Bombyx mori: one gene and its partners. The protein of the gene in region 2 interacts with the protein of the main gene of each other region in a biochemical or structural test. Links are inferred from orthologs where the notes say so. Each region holds a gene or a part of one and is shown on either strand. Other genes may lie near its edges.

Region 1 (4,134 bases), on a different chromosome or scaffold from region 2:
AGAAACAGTGTAGTGTTAATGCTTACAACTAGGTAACTACTATATACAGACTGACATTGTCTCCTGGTTTCAACAAATTATTGTAATCAGAAGTTGGATTTAGAATAGTTACCTTTGTACCTTAAACTTAACAACAAAAATAACAGACAAACAAAGGAATTAACTGGAGATGATCTAAAAACGATTTCTTTTTTGGGATTGTAACAAAAACTTACAGTACTAGCTTGCGGTGCTGAGAAACCAGATGTAGGTGTTGAAAAACTAAAGCCAGCTGTCGTTGATGCCGGCTTCCCGAAGCTAAAACCTGTATTTGCACTGGAACCGAATGCTGGGGCAGCAGCTAAAACAACATGTTCATACATTTCCTTTTCTTAAAATTTCTGTTCACTTTATTACTGATGCAAGCAAGACGTACTGGTGAAGTAATTATAAATTTCGTTTGTAAGGAACAATGACTTAAAACTTTTCTGAACTTTAAGTCCAATTTTCATAATAGCAAAAGCTGAGCGCTAGTGCATTTACAAAAGCAATATTATTATCCTTTTTTTTAATTTTAAATTTATAATTATCCATGTCATCTGCCATGTCAAAATAATTATATTTGTCAATCCAGGTCTTAAGCTGTGTTACCATTATAATCGTCATTTTAGTATAATATCATTTATATATTCATTATAATAATAAATTTATAATATTATTATATTTATAACCAACCTTGTGTGGCAGGTGTACCGAATGCCGGTGGTGCTGTGGTGGTTGCACCAAACGACAGATTCTGGGCCTGTCCTGCATTCTGTGAAATATTCACTAGCATTACAAGGCATTAACACATGCAAAGGAGCACAGTGAACGACATATAAGAGTTATGTAGAATGTAAGCATTCTCGAACTAAGAAAGAAAAGATAAGTAGAATGTAAGCATTCTCAAACTAAGAAAGAAAAGATATCATTTTTTTCACAACAATTTAACAATGGCAGAACATTGTTTTTTTTTTTTTTTATGTCTTAGATGGGTGGAAGAGCTCACAGCCCACCTGGTGTTAAGTGGTTACTGGAGCCCATGGACATCTACAACGTAAATGCGCCACCCACCATGAGATATAAGTTCTAAGATCTCAGTATAGTTACAACGGCTGCCCCACCCTTCAAACCGAAACGCATTACTGCTTCACGGCAGAAATAGGTAGGGCGGTGGTACCTATTCGCGCGGACTCACAAGAGGTCCTACCACCAGTAAAATTTACAAATATAACTGATTTTTTTTCCACTTAATTTGGTGAAATGCAAAATACAGTATTGATCGATAAACGCAGCTGGAGACATCACACCAAACTGACGAATAGTTTGTTTAACAGGCTCCCAACAAAATTACTGTACACACCTGATTTGTTGCTTGCCCAAAGGCAGAACTGCCAACTGTCTGATTAGGAGGTGAAGTGAAACCTCCAAAGGGTGTTGGCTTATTCGCTCCAAAGCCTGCAGTTGTAGTCGTTGTCGATGGAGATGAAACTGCCATACAATACATAAGTGTGAGAGGCATTTGTTATGAGTAGAATGTTTTTCGTAATGTTTGATGTAAGCCTCTTTTTGAGCAGGTAGGTTCTCATTGTCTATAAAGAGTAGGGCAGGAAAGGTTCAAGGCTCTTACATTTTGTGATTCAGTAGTGTGGTGATAATTTTGATTAAGCACTATGTTATTTTGTTATTTGTAGGTCAATTCTATTTTAGTGTTAGATTCATTCCTGGAGTTTAATTTAACTTTAACTTGTATGAAAATTGTATTTAGAACATAGGATCTGAGTGTAAATAAATATTTATGAAATATTGATCATTTAAGAACCCCTTTGAGGGATAATTATAATTTTTTAAATAATTTTTCACATGTCAGCTAGGAGTGTTAATAGTTGTTTAAATATCTTTTGCATGTCTTTTGGCTATGGTTTAATTACAACCATACAGTATATTCAGCGTTAAGTAAACAAAGGCCATTACTTACATGGTGAAGGTGCTGCATTTGTTGTTTTAGCACCAAATGCAAAACTGCCAAATACTGGTGCACTTGTTGTGGGACTAGTGAAGCTGAATGTTGCTTTGTTTTCTGAGAGATTAAAAATATTATTTGCATTTTCTATATGCTTTTGGGATTCGATTCATGTTTGGATATCTAATGAGTGTACTTCATCTTTTCTGAAAATATCCATGTCTCTTGGTTTAAGAAACCAGCACCACTGTTAATAAATCTTGATTTATTAACAGTGGTGCCTTAAATTCCCTTAGTCCCTTAAATTTTTACTGTCTATTTTTGTTACTTGTAACAGAAAAATTCAGATTTAAAATATCGCTTGTATTTGTTACCGGAAGTTTTTGTACGCATCGTACCTGTGTTGGATCCACCAAATAACGGCTTTGAAGCGTCACCGCTGCCAAATGAAAATCCTGTAATTACATCCAATTAATTAATTTTTTGATCTTAACGTGAAAAAAGTGTGGTTATATTGTTTACATTGACAATTTAATTATTGTTTAAAAAAACATATATATCGTAGTTCGAATCGTATTGTAGAGTATTTCAATTTATAAAGCTTCAAATTGGAACATGATAATCAAACCAAAAAGAATTTACCTGTTGATGGTGTTGGTGTACCAAAAGTATTAGACGACGTTGTAGTAGTTCCAAAAGAAAAACTCATTTTGTAAACTATAGATAAACTTATGTAAAAGTAAAATAGTTTAAATGATGGAAGTATGTATATTTAGATATTTCAATAAATGTTTAGTAAGCACTACTGTTTGCCGCCGTTAGAAAATTTACCAACAGTAAGATTTATCGAGATATTAATCATTCGTTCAAACTTCAATGTGTCAAAAGTCACTTTTTGTTATGTCCGATCAGACTGGCAAAAGAAACGTAGCCAATTGATTTAAACTGGAATTGAAAACCTTGTGTGAGATCTCAAGCCAGGCAGATTGCAAGCATATTTTTTCCCGTGTTCTCATCGCAACCAATTCTAGAAAATGAGTGTCGGAAAGGAAAAATATATGAAAGATAATCGTGGCAAAAGAAGAAAGATAAGGCATTTAAAAGCTAAAACTATATTCTTATAGTACATAGTATAAAAAATACCTAACAATGTTTAATTACCCCATTTTTTCTCGTCACCTAATATGAATCCTAACGATAAATGTGAAACCGTAAATTATCTTTCCAATCCAACTCTCTATACTCTGTTCAATTCAAATCAATTTACTGTATGTGATTTTTAAAGGCAATCTCTTCCATACCTTTAAATCGCTTTTGATAACATCAGTTGGATGATAACAATAACAATTTTAGATGAAATCATCCATATCTTTTGCCACATCCTGAATTAAGCAAGTTTGTTCCAAAGTCGAGTTTGATGGTGTGTTCCAAAGGAAAGGAAAAAACGAGCCATCGCGGTAAAGCTTGTAGATTTGAAACATTGATATTACTTTGTACAAGTATAGATGTTTATATGGATAGCTTAGAATAGAAAATTGGTGTGGAATATGAAAAATACAATAATAAAATGAGACAGTCGCTTGTGCATGGCGATGCGTTGCCACGTCAGCAATCAAAAAAAGAGCTTAAGTAGCTTAGCATTTTTAAAGTATTTGTATATTTCATATTATTTTTATTTCATAAAACCTAATCCGCTTACATAGTAGTGGGGCCCCATTTTTTTATTTGCCCTGGGGCCCTTGGTTACCTTGTTAGCCACTGTTTATCTCGGCAGGTAGATTCGTGTTTCATGCTCGCATTACTATATCAGAACACTATTTTAATTATTTATATTTATTTTATTAAGCCACTGCTACTATTTTCGCATGAGAGTTATGGAAATGTCTAAATAAGACGTACATAACCACGACCACTCCGCTAGGAGTGTACGACTGAGAAGAAAAGAAAAAACTATCTCAGACGTGGTGTGTGTGGTTTTAAACTTTTTGAATAACAATCCATTGTATACAAGTGCACAAATATGAGGCGTAAAGTTTTCAAAGTAAGTTGACTACCTGCATACCTACCTACTTAATATTTTATCTGCCGTACTTATTCTCGTAGGTTCCATAGTGACCAATGAAGTAGGAAACCTATGGAAATGAAACGTCAAC
Region 2 (4,259 bases):
AATGTTCACGATTGACTTCCACGGTGAAGGAATAACATCGTGTAATAAAAATCAAACCCGCAAAATTATAATTTGCGTAATTACTGGTGGTAGGACCTCTTGTGAGTCCGCGCGGGTAGGTACCACCACCCCGCCTATTTTCCGCCGTGAAGCAGTAATGCGTTTCGGTTCGAAGGGTGGGGTAGCCGTTGTAACTATACTGAGACCTTAGAACTTATATCTCGAGGTGGGTGGCGCATTTACGTTGTAGATGTCTATGGGCTCCAGTAACCACTTAACACCAGGTGGGCTGTGAGCTCGTCCACCCATCTAAGCAATAAAAAAAAAATAAAAAAAAAAAAAACTTAAAAATGGTTCCAAATACTGCACATCCATAAAAAAGTCTTTATCAGAAGAGGAAGATAAGGAAGGCGCAGTATTTTTACCACCTTTCCTCTTTTTGCCCTGCGTACTAAATACATCTCTGTTAGATCTGCCTTCAGCAACAATTCGTCTTATGGTAGTATTTATTTATTTATTTATTTATGTGCGTTCCCCTGACGAGTCATTGTCAGGGACATTTTTTATGCTTATTTGCTTTTTTGATAAATTTTATTTTTCACCATTTGTAATGTTAGGTTCGTATTTCGTTCTTTTATAATTTTCGTTTCTCTGCTTATTACTATAACCTGGAAAAACCAAAATCCGGTCGTCCAAGATTTTCGAGAACACTCGAAAACGTAGACAGTGTTGCCCAGTCTATTCGGGACGATCTGAACCTTTCAATTGAGAAGCGTGCGGTGGCCTTAAACGTGCACAGATCGTCGTGATGCCCTATTTTGCATAAAGATTTAAAACTGCACCCGTACAAATTCAGTTGGTGCAAGAATTAAAACTTCAGGATACTGGTCAGAGGTCAATTTTTTCCTGGCAAATTGATCTCCAGGAGAGGTGACATAAGTTGGCCTCCACGCAGTCCCGATTTGACATCTATGGACTTTTTCCTGTGGGGTTATATCAAATCCAAAGTTTACACCAACAAATCGACTTTCACACACAATTAAAAGAAAATATCTATCACGAAAGCCATCACGGAGAACACCTGCCGAGCCGTCATAGGCAATTTTAGTGCTCGATTAAACGAATGCCCTGAACGCAACGGTTTACATTTCGACGATGTCATTTTTAAAAAATAAATTCCAAAACAGTGTATTTTAATATGTAATAAACATTTTTTCAATAAACTCCTTACTTTTTTTAAAATTATATTTTTAAATATGACATTTCCTTTGAGACCCTTCCTTCGTTTTTTTTATTATTCATAAACTATTTTCAATAATTAAAACAGCGAAACATAAAAATCTTTTACTTGACGCTGGCTAATGCACAAACCGTACGGAGCCAAAAATAAAGACGAAGTGTAATCCATAGGTTATACAGGTGTATAATCTACAAATGTCGCCATCCATTTTGTTTCACATTGAAAAAGAACAGGTTTAAGATTCACAAGAGAGACGCTATTTAGTTTTTGGTGATTAATTTTGGAAATATTTGGATTGCTAATAACGTCCAAATATATAATTTAACTAACCATACTTAAAATTTATTGAGTGTAGGGTAATTTTACACCATCAAAGTTGTTTAACTCTTTTGTAATTTGCGTTGTTAATTAAAAAAAGCTATTATTCAATTATCATTGGCTTTATCTCAGTTAACTATTCTACACGCATGTGAGAAAATAAGGAAACCTTAAAGAACTACTTTCACGGTATTTGTATACTGGTGATTAAAGCTTCTTCGACACGATGCCAAAACGTGGCGGTGGAAGGAATAGAAATTGGAAGGCTGATACTGACCATTTTGGTAAGTGGAACACTTTTATTTATATTCTGTTGTGATTTTGTAGTTCCTACAGTGAATTATCAAAAAATAATGTATTCCATTGTTGTTAGCGCTACTTATGTTTAATACATAAAGGCAAAATCATGCATCATAAAGTTCATGATACCAATGAATAATATATGAGTTTTTAAAGTTATTGACTATTAATACTTGATTTACAAATGATATACTTTCAGAACACGATGACCGTGTCAATAGTGTGCCGAGACATGTCAGTTTTAAACCTGGAGCTAAAGGAAAAAATAAATTTCGAACTTGGAAAAATCCTTTAGCCCTCCTTGATGATGATATTGACATGGGTAGTTCTGCTCTTCAAGGACCGGTCCGGAAAAGTTCTTTCAGGGGACGTGGGAGAATGTACTCTCCAGCTCCGCAAGGAAGCCACGGACACACTAAAAAGAAATTTATTCCTGGTGTACTGCCTTGGTACCAAATAATCATTCCATATGGAGCAAAACATGAAAAAGATGTTATCCTCCGAGCCTTGTTGGGTTTTCTTTCACCCGACATATTCATTCCACATTACTATAAAGTCAATGGAAATGCTGCAGTATTCTATGTTGATGATGTCAAAACAGCTGAAAAACTTTATAATGCTGATAGAAAGATCACTATGTCAGATGGTTTTAAGTTAATTGTTATTGTGAGGAATGCTGTTCCAAACATGGCCATTGACGCTGCCATGAAAGAGAAGATGAAATTGACAATGGCGAAGAGGTATAATGCTACAACTAAGGCATTAGATTTAACAAAATTCCATGCTGATCCAGGTGATTGTCCAATTATATTGTTATTGCTTTACATATTCATTATTTACAATACATTCATTGCAATGTCTAAAATTCAACTTGTTAGTAAACAGCTTAGTAATACATATTATAATTTCTTTTTCATTCAATTAGAGATATAATAAGCTAGACTTTTGGGAATAATTTCTTATGGGCCCACATAAGCTATAATCTATTTAAGAGCGCATACTGGTTTGCCCTTTTATAATGCAGCAATGTAACAACAATATTTATAACCAGTTATTTTATAGAATGTAAAGACAATAGTTTTACTGGGTGAATATTGAAATAATACTATTTTTCAGATCTAGAAGATATATTTTGTGCACTGTTCCGTCCAATGATAATGTTGGCTGCTATAGATATAATAGCAGAGAATATTCCAGACATAGAAGCTTTGAACCTAAATGATAATAAGCTTCATGGTTTGCAGCATCTCAAGGTTTTGTCTTCAAAGCTCAAGAATTTGAAAATATTGTATATGGGCGATAATAGGGTAAGACAAATACATTTACGACAATTTAGACCAGTGTAAAATTTCAAATGACTGATTCATATTCATATCATCATCTTCAGTGCACATTCCTATCTAGGCATAGTTTGAATAGCCCCACAAGCTAACAGTAATTAGGTAGGATACAAAATCCCTATCTACATTTGACAAATAAATTTGTGGTTTTTTTTTTCTTTATTATATACCCCAACTAACAATCTTTGCAATTAATTTGTTTTCACATGCACTATATCTGATTGTTAAGGTAGACATTTTTCTCAATTTTGTGTAGTGTAAGTATTTTTCTACTAACTCATCATTTGCATTACATTAGTAAAATATAAAATAAATGTAGTAAACGAAAGACATCTTTAAAAATATATGAATGCTATTAAAAAACCAATAATGTACATTAATTATCATTTAAACCTTTTCCAGATTCCATTCCTTGGATCACTGGACCCAATCAGATCATTACCGCTAGTTGAGCTATACCTCAAAGGAAACCCACTGGTGAACAGGTTTCATGATCACGAAATCTACATAAGGTAACGCTAATGTTGTAGACAGTATCTTTGGGGTCACACCCCAAGATATTTTGAATATCCTATAACACAGTTTACCATTAGCGTTAAGCCATGGAAACTTGACAGCTATATAAAATCAAACTGTGGCAGTACTGTTGCTGAATTGTGCTTGTTTAAGTAGATGAAATGAGTAAAGATGTTTTTTATCATAAGTTAAATTTGTGATAACATATATTATATTCCTATACTGTTTATAACAAAATCAGTAAAATATCCCTTAATAAAATATACTTATAGTTGACTAATCTTTTTAAAAGACATAATTTTACATAGCAAAAAATTGGCAGGATAATTCCATAAAATTTCTTGGGAAATGTCCCAACAGACAATGAGCCTTCTTATTTCCATATTCCCCTGACTCACATATTTATCAGAGTATTAAAATAATTGATACAAAATAGTAACATTTAAAAATATTTACCTAGGAATAGGTCACTCACAGCATTATATGTAAAAATGGCCCAACTGTTTAGTAATCTTGGAAGAGTTTTAGTGCAGTGGTATGAGACA
Region 3 (4,224 bases), on a different chromosome or scaffold from region 2:
GTACCTAATCTCACAAAAATAGGGATGTAGTGGTTGGAAGGCTGCTGCCTCAATTAAGATGTAAACAAAGTACTCTAGAAGAACAAAAAGAAAAATCCTTTACTTTATGTTACAATGTACAAAACATACTGGTACGAAGAGGGGGTTTATGCATTAACTGTTATAAGGTATTCGTATTACGGTTAGCAACTTAATATCAACCTGATTCAAGTCCAATTTTTATAGCCTTAAATTTGATAGTCTCTTTAAAATAATGTGATCATTAGTTTCAGAAATTTATACTTACTTGTTTTTATTATATCATCATGAGATACTAAATCATCCAATCTTTTTGGGCGATATTTTTCAACCCTGCGTAAAAACAAAGTGTTAATCGTCGTAGTAAAATATATTGAGTTATGATTTTTTTGTTTAAATCATTGTTAATGATAGTTCATACCATGGCAAATTTTGGCCTGTTTCCCCAACAGTCATATTGTTTTTATAACAGTATTTTTAAATCGCTTCTAGTATGTAAGTACAGATACTTTAATAAAAACGATTTATTTAAATTGTGGATTGGTTTACAAGCTTGAGGAAACTATAAAATTCAAAATTCGAACCATAGATAGTAGTAGCAGTTTTATTCATAGATTATACACTTAATATATTATTGGAAAGGCAAAGGTATCATACCATAAAGCGTAATCTTTTATATATTTTTTATATGTAAAATGATTTATGAAATGAAATGAAGTTGATTAATATGAAACATAACATGAAATGAAATGAAATGAAAATGAAATGGAATGAAATGAAATGAGATGAGATGATATGGGATGAAATATAATCTCAGTAAAATGGTAGTCATTTACTGAGACTTTTTCAGTGGACTTTTTAGAGGATCCCAAAAAGTTATGCTCAGCGGCTTTGTTTCAATTTTCCCACATTTGTGCACTTTCACAGATATTAAACAGGTTATAAACCACCGTTATTACACATTTAAACTTGGAGAAACACTAAATAGACAAAATAAAACAAAACACACAACTTCACTCCTCGCGCCAAAAATCTCGAACCATAAATAATACACTTCTTAATATTTGAATTTTGAGTGCATTAGCATTACGTGATTTGATTACCTAGTTAAAGATTAAAACTAAGCGCTTAATTTTTTAAACAGAAAGATTTGACCAAATCAACTGGTAAATGTAAAATAAAATAAACTAAGACAGATGTGTAAGATAGTCTTTATTGACTATAATTTCTACCAAATTTAAAGCTCAACAATTTTTTTCAATCTACTGTTGAACTAATATTAGCAATCTGGCAATAACGAATCTTTTCTTCGGCCATTTTGTCACCGTCTACTTGGGAAGGAAGAGTTCTAAAAGGATTGTTTTTGTTTTTGACTTAATTTTCATAGAAAAAATATTTAGAATTTCAAATAATCACCATGGTTGATCAAATTGAAATGGCACTGGATGATATTATAAAAGCCAACAAAAAGACAAGGATTGGAGGTGGTGCTGGAAGAAAATTTGATGCAAACAAAAGAACAGGACGTGGAGGCGGTGCTGGATTTCGTAGCAACCGCTCTGGTGGTGTACAACGAGGTAGAAATCGTGGAGGCATAACGAAATCTACCAACTATTCGAGGGTAATTCCAATAATTAGATGATTCTAAAATTACAAATGGCGGGCAAATGTGACGCATCAATGTATCTAATTTGTTCTCAAAAAGTCAAGCAACCATATGGACCATCTTGTTGAAATAGTTTTAGACGAAATTTGACACTTTGATTCAAATCAAGACCCTTATTTTATTCGTATCCGACCTATTTTCAACTTGAAACCATAATCCCAGCAACCATATTGTTATCTCCATCAACGTTTTTGTTTTGCATTGTTTACCTACATCTGCCGGAAAATTCTATGATGGATGCTGATATAAAAGTGTAATGAATTCGAGCAAAACGTTACTTTTGTGGAGATGTCTACAGTGCAGTTTTGACCAATTTATAGAATTGACTTCAGGAGTTGAAAAGTAAATAAATGGACTCCATGGACGGCTGAGACTGGTTGTGCTTCATAACTTATTAGTCTTGTGTCTGTGTGATGAAAGTGATAAAACAGTTCTATATTTTAATTTTCGAAAAAAAACATGTAAACTACATCAAATGTTATTTTATCAAGTGGTTCAGATGTCAATGTATTAATTTTAGTGCCTAAGCTTTGAGTTTTTATTATATTCAAAGGAGGCATAGAGAGTAGCCACATGGCTAGCTCTATGAAGGATGACCTTTTCAGGGTGATGTGAACAGCACTTGGAAACATGATATGTTCAATGATTTTGGTGAGAGGAAACTTCAAAGAAACAGTGGGACCATAACAACTGGTCCTACCAAGCTGCTTGTATCCAATTTGGACTTTGGAGTATCAGATTCAGATATAAAGGAACTATTTTCGGAATTTGGCATCCTCAAAAGTGCATCTGTACATTATGATCGGTCAGGTAGATCTTTAGGTATGTATCACAAAGCATAAAAACTTAGTTTGTTCCATTAAGTATTTCATCATACAAGATATTTTTAAATTTTTTTAGGTACTGCAGATGTTGTGTTTGAAAGAAAAGCAGATGCTGTGAAGGCTATGAAACAGTATAACGGAGTGCCACTTGATGGACGGGCAATGAATATACAATTGGCAACATCTGAAATCAATACTTTAAGGCCCGAGGCTAGAAATCGAATTGGTGGTGCGAGTGTGGGAGGTACTATACGAAACAATCCTAAAAGAGGTAAGATATTTTCCAGGATTTGTTTGTATGGGAGGAGTGATAACAAATTACATCATTGTGATTTGTGACAAATCACCATATACAAGATGGCCTCTTAGTCGAATCAATCTGGAAACACCTAGTTATTGTCGGAAAGATACTTCAATAAGGCCATTGGTCATGATAATCGCCATATTGTTGCTGCCGCTGACTATTTCTACCCACAGCAGAGACTAACTGTTGATGTCCTAGACACATAATTACGGATCCATCAGATCCAATAACTCTTGCATTAGACACCTGCTTTAACACTAACCATACTCATTGAACTCTAAAGAGTTTGATGTGCAACCTAATCCATAGACAGACTACTGATCTGGTAGTAGATTCATTTGCAAAGCAGCTGCCCATGAATTGTGTTAGACCTCTTTCGGAGGTGTTCAACTGTTAGCAAACCCTTCTCTTCTGGCTAAGCATTCGTGGTGTAACTGGAAAGGCCTCCGGCCCTAAATCCTTCATTTAAAAAAACATTATTAAAATTAATTACTTTTTTTAAAACTGATATTTTCCCACTAGTTCTTGTTGTACATTTTCACTTTACTGTTTGCAAGTTACAAATTACTAGAAATCCATTAATTATTTTATTTTTGAAGGAGGTGGAGGAATTAGAAATCAAAGCAATAGTGGAGCACGTGGGGGAAACAGAAGAGGACGTGGTGGTGCAGGCAGAGGCAAACGACCAGTACCTACTGCAGAACAATTAGATGCAGAGCTTGATGCATATGTGAAAGAAATCAAGTGAATAACTAATGAGAATGTGCATAGACACTCAGTTTTATCTTAAAATATGAATGAATAAGCTTTGTGTTCTCAATGTTCTAGATTAATTGTAAAAGTATAGGTTATACTAATAAAAGACTACGAATTATAAAGAAATTATAATTCTAGTACATGTATTAAATTGGATAAATAAACCCAGATTTGAAATTTTCTTGTATAGATTTCTTTTTAGTCTGTAGTTGTGTACACAAGTGTAAACATTTTTAAGGAGGTTATCGTAATTCAACTGTATTACAGTGAATGCATCTGCATTCGGCATCTGCCGATTTGGAAACTGCCTAGATCTTAAGCGTATCACTGCTCCACCTCCAAACATCACTACCTGTGTAGGTTAAAAATTATACGTAGCTACTGGTGATGTTATTCGTTCAATGTGGAAGTCTGTCAAAAACAATGAGAAATACTTTTTCAAAAAATTTTCATGGTCATTACACTCAATTTCAGCACATCAACAGTCATATTTAAAGCTACGGCAACATCAAAGTTCATTTATAAAAGGAGTTGTCGTACCCCCTTACAGGGGCACGGAACGGGCCTCGGGCAAACCCCACTGCTTGGACAGAAGCTCCCTGCCACACAGGTCGGGGGTGATGTGGGTGCAGGGTGAGCTTTATAGGGGAGAGAGC
Region 4 (3,671 bases), on a different chromosome or scaffold from region 2:
ATAGCGGAACGCAACAAATGTCTCGCATGAATGACAGCTATCATTCATCCAAGTCGAGTACGGGGTGGGGCGACCAGAATAAAGAACCCTCGTATATTTGGTTTGTCCAAAGATGTGTAGTTCTTAAAAAGAAGAAACTATGAAAATATCCTTCAAACTCACGATAGGCACCTTATTATCGGTATTTCATCATGAATTCGAGGTCATCGGCAAGACCATTAGATGTGCGAGAAGAGAGAAACTACAAATCTACTTACCGCTTGAAGCGCCGCTAACCTGTCCTTCGTCATCCTTTACAGAGAATCACGCACCAAGTAAACGTTTTTTCTCGTTACACAATCCCATTCAAAGATATTTTTCTAACAAACGTCACTAAACTAAAGGACACGAACACTACGTTCACTTCACTCAAAAAATCGATACCATACAAAACGTTCAGACGAGCAAAACTTCACTTATCGCTGGTCGCTACACTCGCTACCTGTCTCATGCTGTCAAATTTAATGTTGCCATAATTTTTTTCTAGGATCCACTAATATTAAATATAAAAAAAACAAGGCACACATGCTAAGAAACAACTTATAAGCTTCGTGCGCTACTGTGAAATGAAGATTGTGAGATGGATATAGTATGGCGACCAGGCTCATTAAAATTAAAAGAGGAGTACGTTTTAAGAAGGCCGCAAGACGAAACTCAGCAACGATATATTCATATAGGAAGGATCTCAGAAAGAAACTTTGCACGAAGAAGAATAGTTGCTTGTTCTTCTTCGTTCGAAAATCTATCGAAAGGCCGAAGATGGAAAAAATCCATCGAGAAGCAAGAGTGATTTTATAAAATTTTAATAGTGTAAAGAGGAAAAAGACGATCTTACGAAGTCTTTGTGGCCGATAGAATTCCCGCGGGCATTTACCATTTCTTATTGAAAGAAAATTTGTGTATAGCGTGTGTTCATGAATGGCACTCATGATGAGCAAATTAAAATAGAAAATTAATACAAAACCATTAATACAAAATAAGCTTTATGCTATATTTTTTTGGGAGTCATAATTGCCAATTTTGTTGGCAAAACCACTAAGATGGCAATGTTGAATATAAAATGTTTGAATTTGTAAGCTATAGGGGGCGTAGTGGTTTCGAAATACCAGTGACGTCAAATACCCTGTAGTCAAAACAGCGCATTATACGGCTTATATTATTAATTTTAAATACTGTTACCCAAATAGAAATTAACTCATTTACAAAATATATCTGATTGAAAGGTTAGTATATAAAATGCAAATTAATATTTTTTTAAACATTTGAAATAGTTTTACGTGGCTTTCATAAATTTAAAAAGACCTCACACTGACTCTTAATTCACTGTGCTTGTCAATGTCAAAATTGTCATTGTATGTAATCTTCCGCTTAGTCAAGTGACGCCATTGTGAGCCGTAACGACTTTGCTTTGGAACGAGTTAAATCTCGATTTTCTTATACAATCACGGTAAAGCCTTTAAAAAAATTATTTGTTTGTGTTCTATAAAAAACTGCCAATAAACTGATATCCATATTTATATTATTGGCGTTGTAGTTTTTCAGTTTTTCTCTTTAGAGTTCGGTACCTTCGAGCTAAATTCCTATGAGAGTGATTGAGCGCCATTCGCCGAAAAGTTAAAACAAATTCAAGTTGTCAAGTTCATTCAAACTCACAATTTATGTACCCAGTGATGAATTTAATCTGCTTAAAGTGTTGAATTATTTCTTGTATTCCGCGAAACCTAGTGAACGATCGATTGAAACGACCTGTCAACCGTGCGTCATAGAACATTCTATGGCTATATCCTAATTTTAGTTTACCACATTGTTTCAGAAGTAAAATAGCAATAAAACAACGAAAATGGCAGATGATATGCCCACATTCAAGTGTGTATTGGTAGGAGATGGTGGTACTGGCAAAACAACCTTTGTCAAAAGACATTTGACTGGAGAGTTCGAGAAAAAATACGTTGCGACTCTGGGTGTCGAAGTACATCCTCTAGTATTCCATACGAACCGCGGGCCAATTCGTTTTAATGTGTGGGACACAGCCGGACAAGAGAAGTTTGGTGGTCTTAGAGACGGATACTATATTCAAGGACAATGTGCTATCATCATGTTCGACGTAACCTCTCGAGTTACGTACAAAAATGTACCTAACTGGCATAGAGATTTGGTCCGTGTATGTGAAGGTATCCCTATTGTCTTGTGCGGAAACAAAGTGGATATTAAAGACAGAAAAGTTAAGGCGAAAACTATTGTTTTCCACAGGAAAAAGAATTTGCAGGTAAATAAAACTATTTTCATTCAATTTAAGAGTTAATTTTAAGGCAAAATGTTAAAATTCTTTGTAATTATTTTTGTTTCAAACTTGATTATTTTTTTCAGTACTACGACATTTCTGCTAAGTCAAACTACAACTTCGAAAAACCCTTCCTGTGGCTAGCTAGAAAATTAATTGGTGACGGTAACCTTGAGTTTGTTGCCATGCCTGCCCTTCTGCCACCAGAAGTTACAATGGATCCTCAATGGCAGAACCAAATTGAAAAAGATCTTCAAGATGCACAAAATACTGCTCTTCCTGAGGAAGATGAAGACTTATAAATATGATCAACGGATGTACCCAGTGCCCATTTTGTGATTGGAGGATCATGCAAATGTGTTCAGTGTAGCGTACACTAAATTTTTTCATTCCATTAGGTGATCGCAAATGAACATTATTTTAATAACTTATTAAACCTTCAATCATTTGCTTTAATTAATGTAAAATCATTAGATAATTTAACACGTAGCTCCTCTAGTTTGAGTTTTATAAAACTGTAATTCTAAACTTTTATATTGAAAGGCAACAAAAATATGAGTATTATTTATGTGTAGTTCATTTTTGTTACAGTTGTCATAAAAACATTTTGCATTGATTGCCCAATATGTGTTAATGCCTATTTGGTCACTGTTATTTATAATACACATGTAAACAAATTTGTATGATAACTCTTTGTAAACCAATAGCATGTACACACATAATATTATAATCTTGAAATTATTTCTTACTTTTGTTACATGCAAGGACTGACAATATTTCACTGAAAAATTGAATTGTGGTGATACTTTTTAAATAAAGTGTAAAAAATGAGATCGTGATTTTACTTCATCATATAAATAAAAGAAGCAATGGAGAAAATGGGTTGTTGTAACTTAAGATTCTTTAATAATAATAATATGTAGAATCTGTAAGTGATCTGATTTGTGTGGTTGTTCACAATATTAATGAGCTATCTAATTATTGAAAATATATGACGAAATACTGAGAAATTATTTATTAGCCTCTCTTAAATATTAAGTTTCATGAGGTAGGTACCTACACATTATGCATATGCCTTCAATATCTGGGATTTGACCTTTAGTGCCCTTGATGGCTGGCTCTGAGGCTTTTTCAAGCGTATCTCGAGTCGGGGCGGTTGCCGTCGCAATGAAAGTTACTTTTTAGTCGTTTATTCCTTTAAAACCCTGTCCTGATTGGAAATCGCTGGGGCGCTAAAAAATCACGGACGTTGGGTGTGGTGGAGGTTCATGGCACTATATTGTTCACCGGTTTGGTGTTACGCTCTGATCCTCGAAAATGCGACTGCGCTGTGGATTCCACTGCATCTTTG

The links.
Region 1: the proteins of nuclear RNA export factor 1 (region 2) and nuclear pore glycoprotein p62 form a complex in vitro, tested with the Homo sapiens proteins (3 studies listed by BioGRID and IntAct). The link is inferred for Bombyx mori from reciprocal best matches to the Homo sapiens genes NXF1 and NUP62.
Region 3: the proteins of nuclear RNA export factor 1 (region 2) and ALY form a complex in vitro, tested with the Homo sapiens proteins (2 studies listed by BioGRID and IntAct). The link is inferred for Bombyx mori from reciprocal best matches to the Homo sapiens genes NXF1 and ALYREF.
Region 4: the proteins of nuclear RNA export factor 1 (region 2) and GTP-binding nuclear protein Ran form a complex in vitro, tested with the Homo sapiens proteins (2 studies listed by BioGRID). The link is inferred for Bombyx mori from reciprocal best matches to the Homo sapiens genes NXF1 and RAN.

Annotation. Positions count from the first base shown.
Region 1 is NC_085134.1:6,717,955-6,722,088, reverse strand, and holds the start of nuclear pore glycoprotein p62, read right to left. Parts: upstream 2,868-4,134; 5' UTR 2,691-2,867; coding exon 2,624-2,690; intron 2,437-2,623; coding exon 2,380-2,436; intron 2,099-2,379; coding exon 1,997-2,098; intron 1,510-1,996; coding exon 1,382-1,509; intron 794-1,381; coding exon 715-793; intron 341-714; coding exon 216-340; intron 1-215. UniProt on the Homo sapiens protein: Essential component of the nuclear pore complex. The N-terminal is probably involved in nucleocytoplasmic transport.
Region 2 is NC_085124.1:4,529,773-4,534,031, forward strand, and holds the start of nuclear RNA export factor 1, read left to right. Parts: upstream 1-1,399; 5' UTR 1,400-1,784; coding exon 1,785-1,842; intron 1,843-2,057; coding exon 2,058-2,651; intron 2,652-2,974; coding exon 2,975-3,165; intron 3,166-3,600; coding exon 3,601-3,710; intron 3,711-4,259.
Region 3 is NC_085114.1:10,512,127-10,516,350, reverse strand, and holds ALY, read left to right. Parts: upstream 1-1,378; 5' UTR 1,379-1,435; coding exon 1,436-1,639; intron 1,640-2,289; coding exon 2,290-2,506; intron 2,507-2,584; coding exon 2,585-2,779; intron 2,780-3,411; coding exon 3,412-3,560; 3' UTR 3,561-3,664; downstream 3,665-4,224. Other genes in the region: replication factor C (activator 1) 5, read right to left, coding at 287-351, 440-474. UniProt on the Homo sapiens protein: Functions as an mRNA export adapter; component of the transcription/export (TREX) complex which is thought to couple mRNA transcription, processing and nuclear export, and specifically associates with spliced mRNA and not with unspliced pre-mRNA.
Region 4 is NC_085116.1:5,374,851-5,378,521, forward strand, and holds GTP-binding nuclear protein Ran, read left to right. Parts: upstream 1-1,410; 5' UTR 1,411-1,486; intron 1,487-1,852; 5' UTR 1,853-1,879; coding exon 1,880-2,305; intron 2,306-2,406; coding exon 2,407-2,622; 3' UTR 2,623-3,151; downstream 3,152-3,671. Other genes in the region: syntaxin-1A, read right to left, coding at 258-290. UniProt on the Homo sapiens protein: GTPase involved in nucleocytoplasmic transport, participating both to the import and the export from the nucleus of proteins and RNAs. Switches between a cytoplasmic GDP- and a nuclear GTP-bound state by nucleotide exchange and GTP hydrolysis.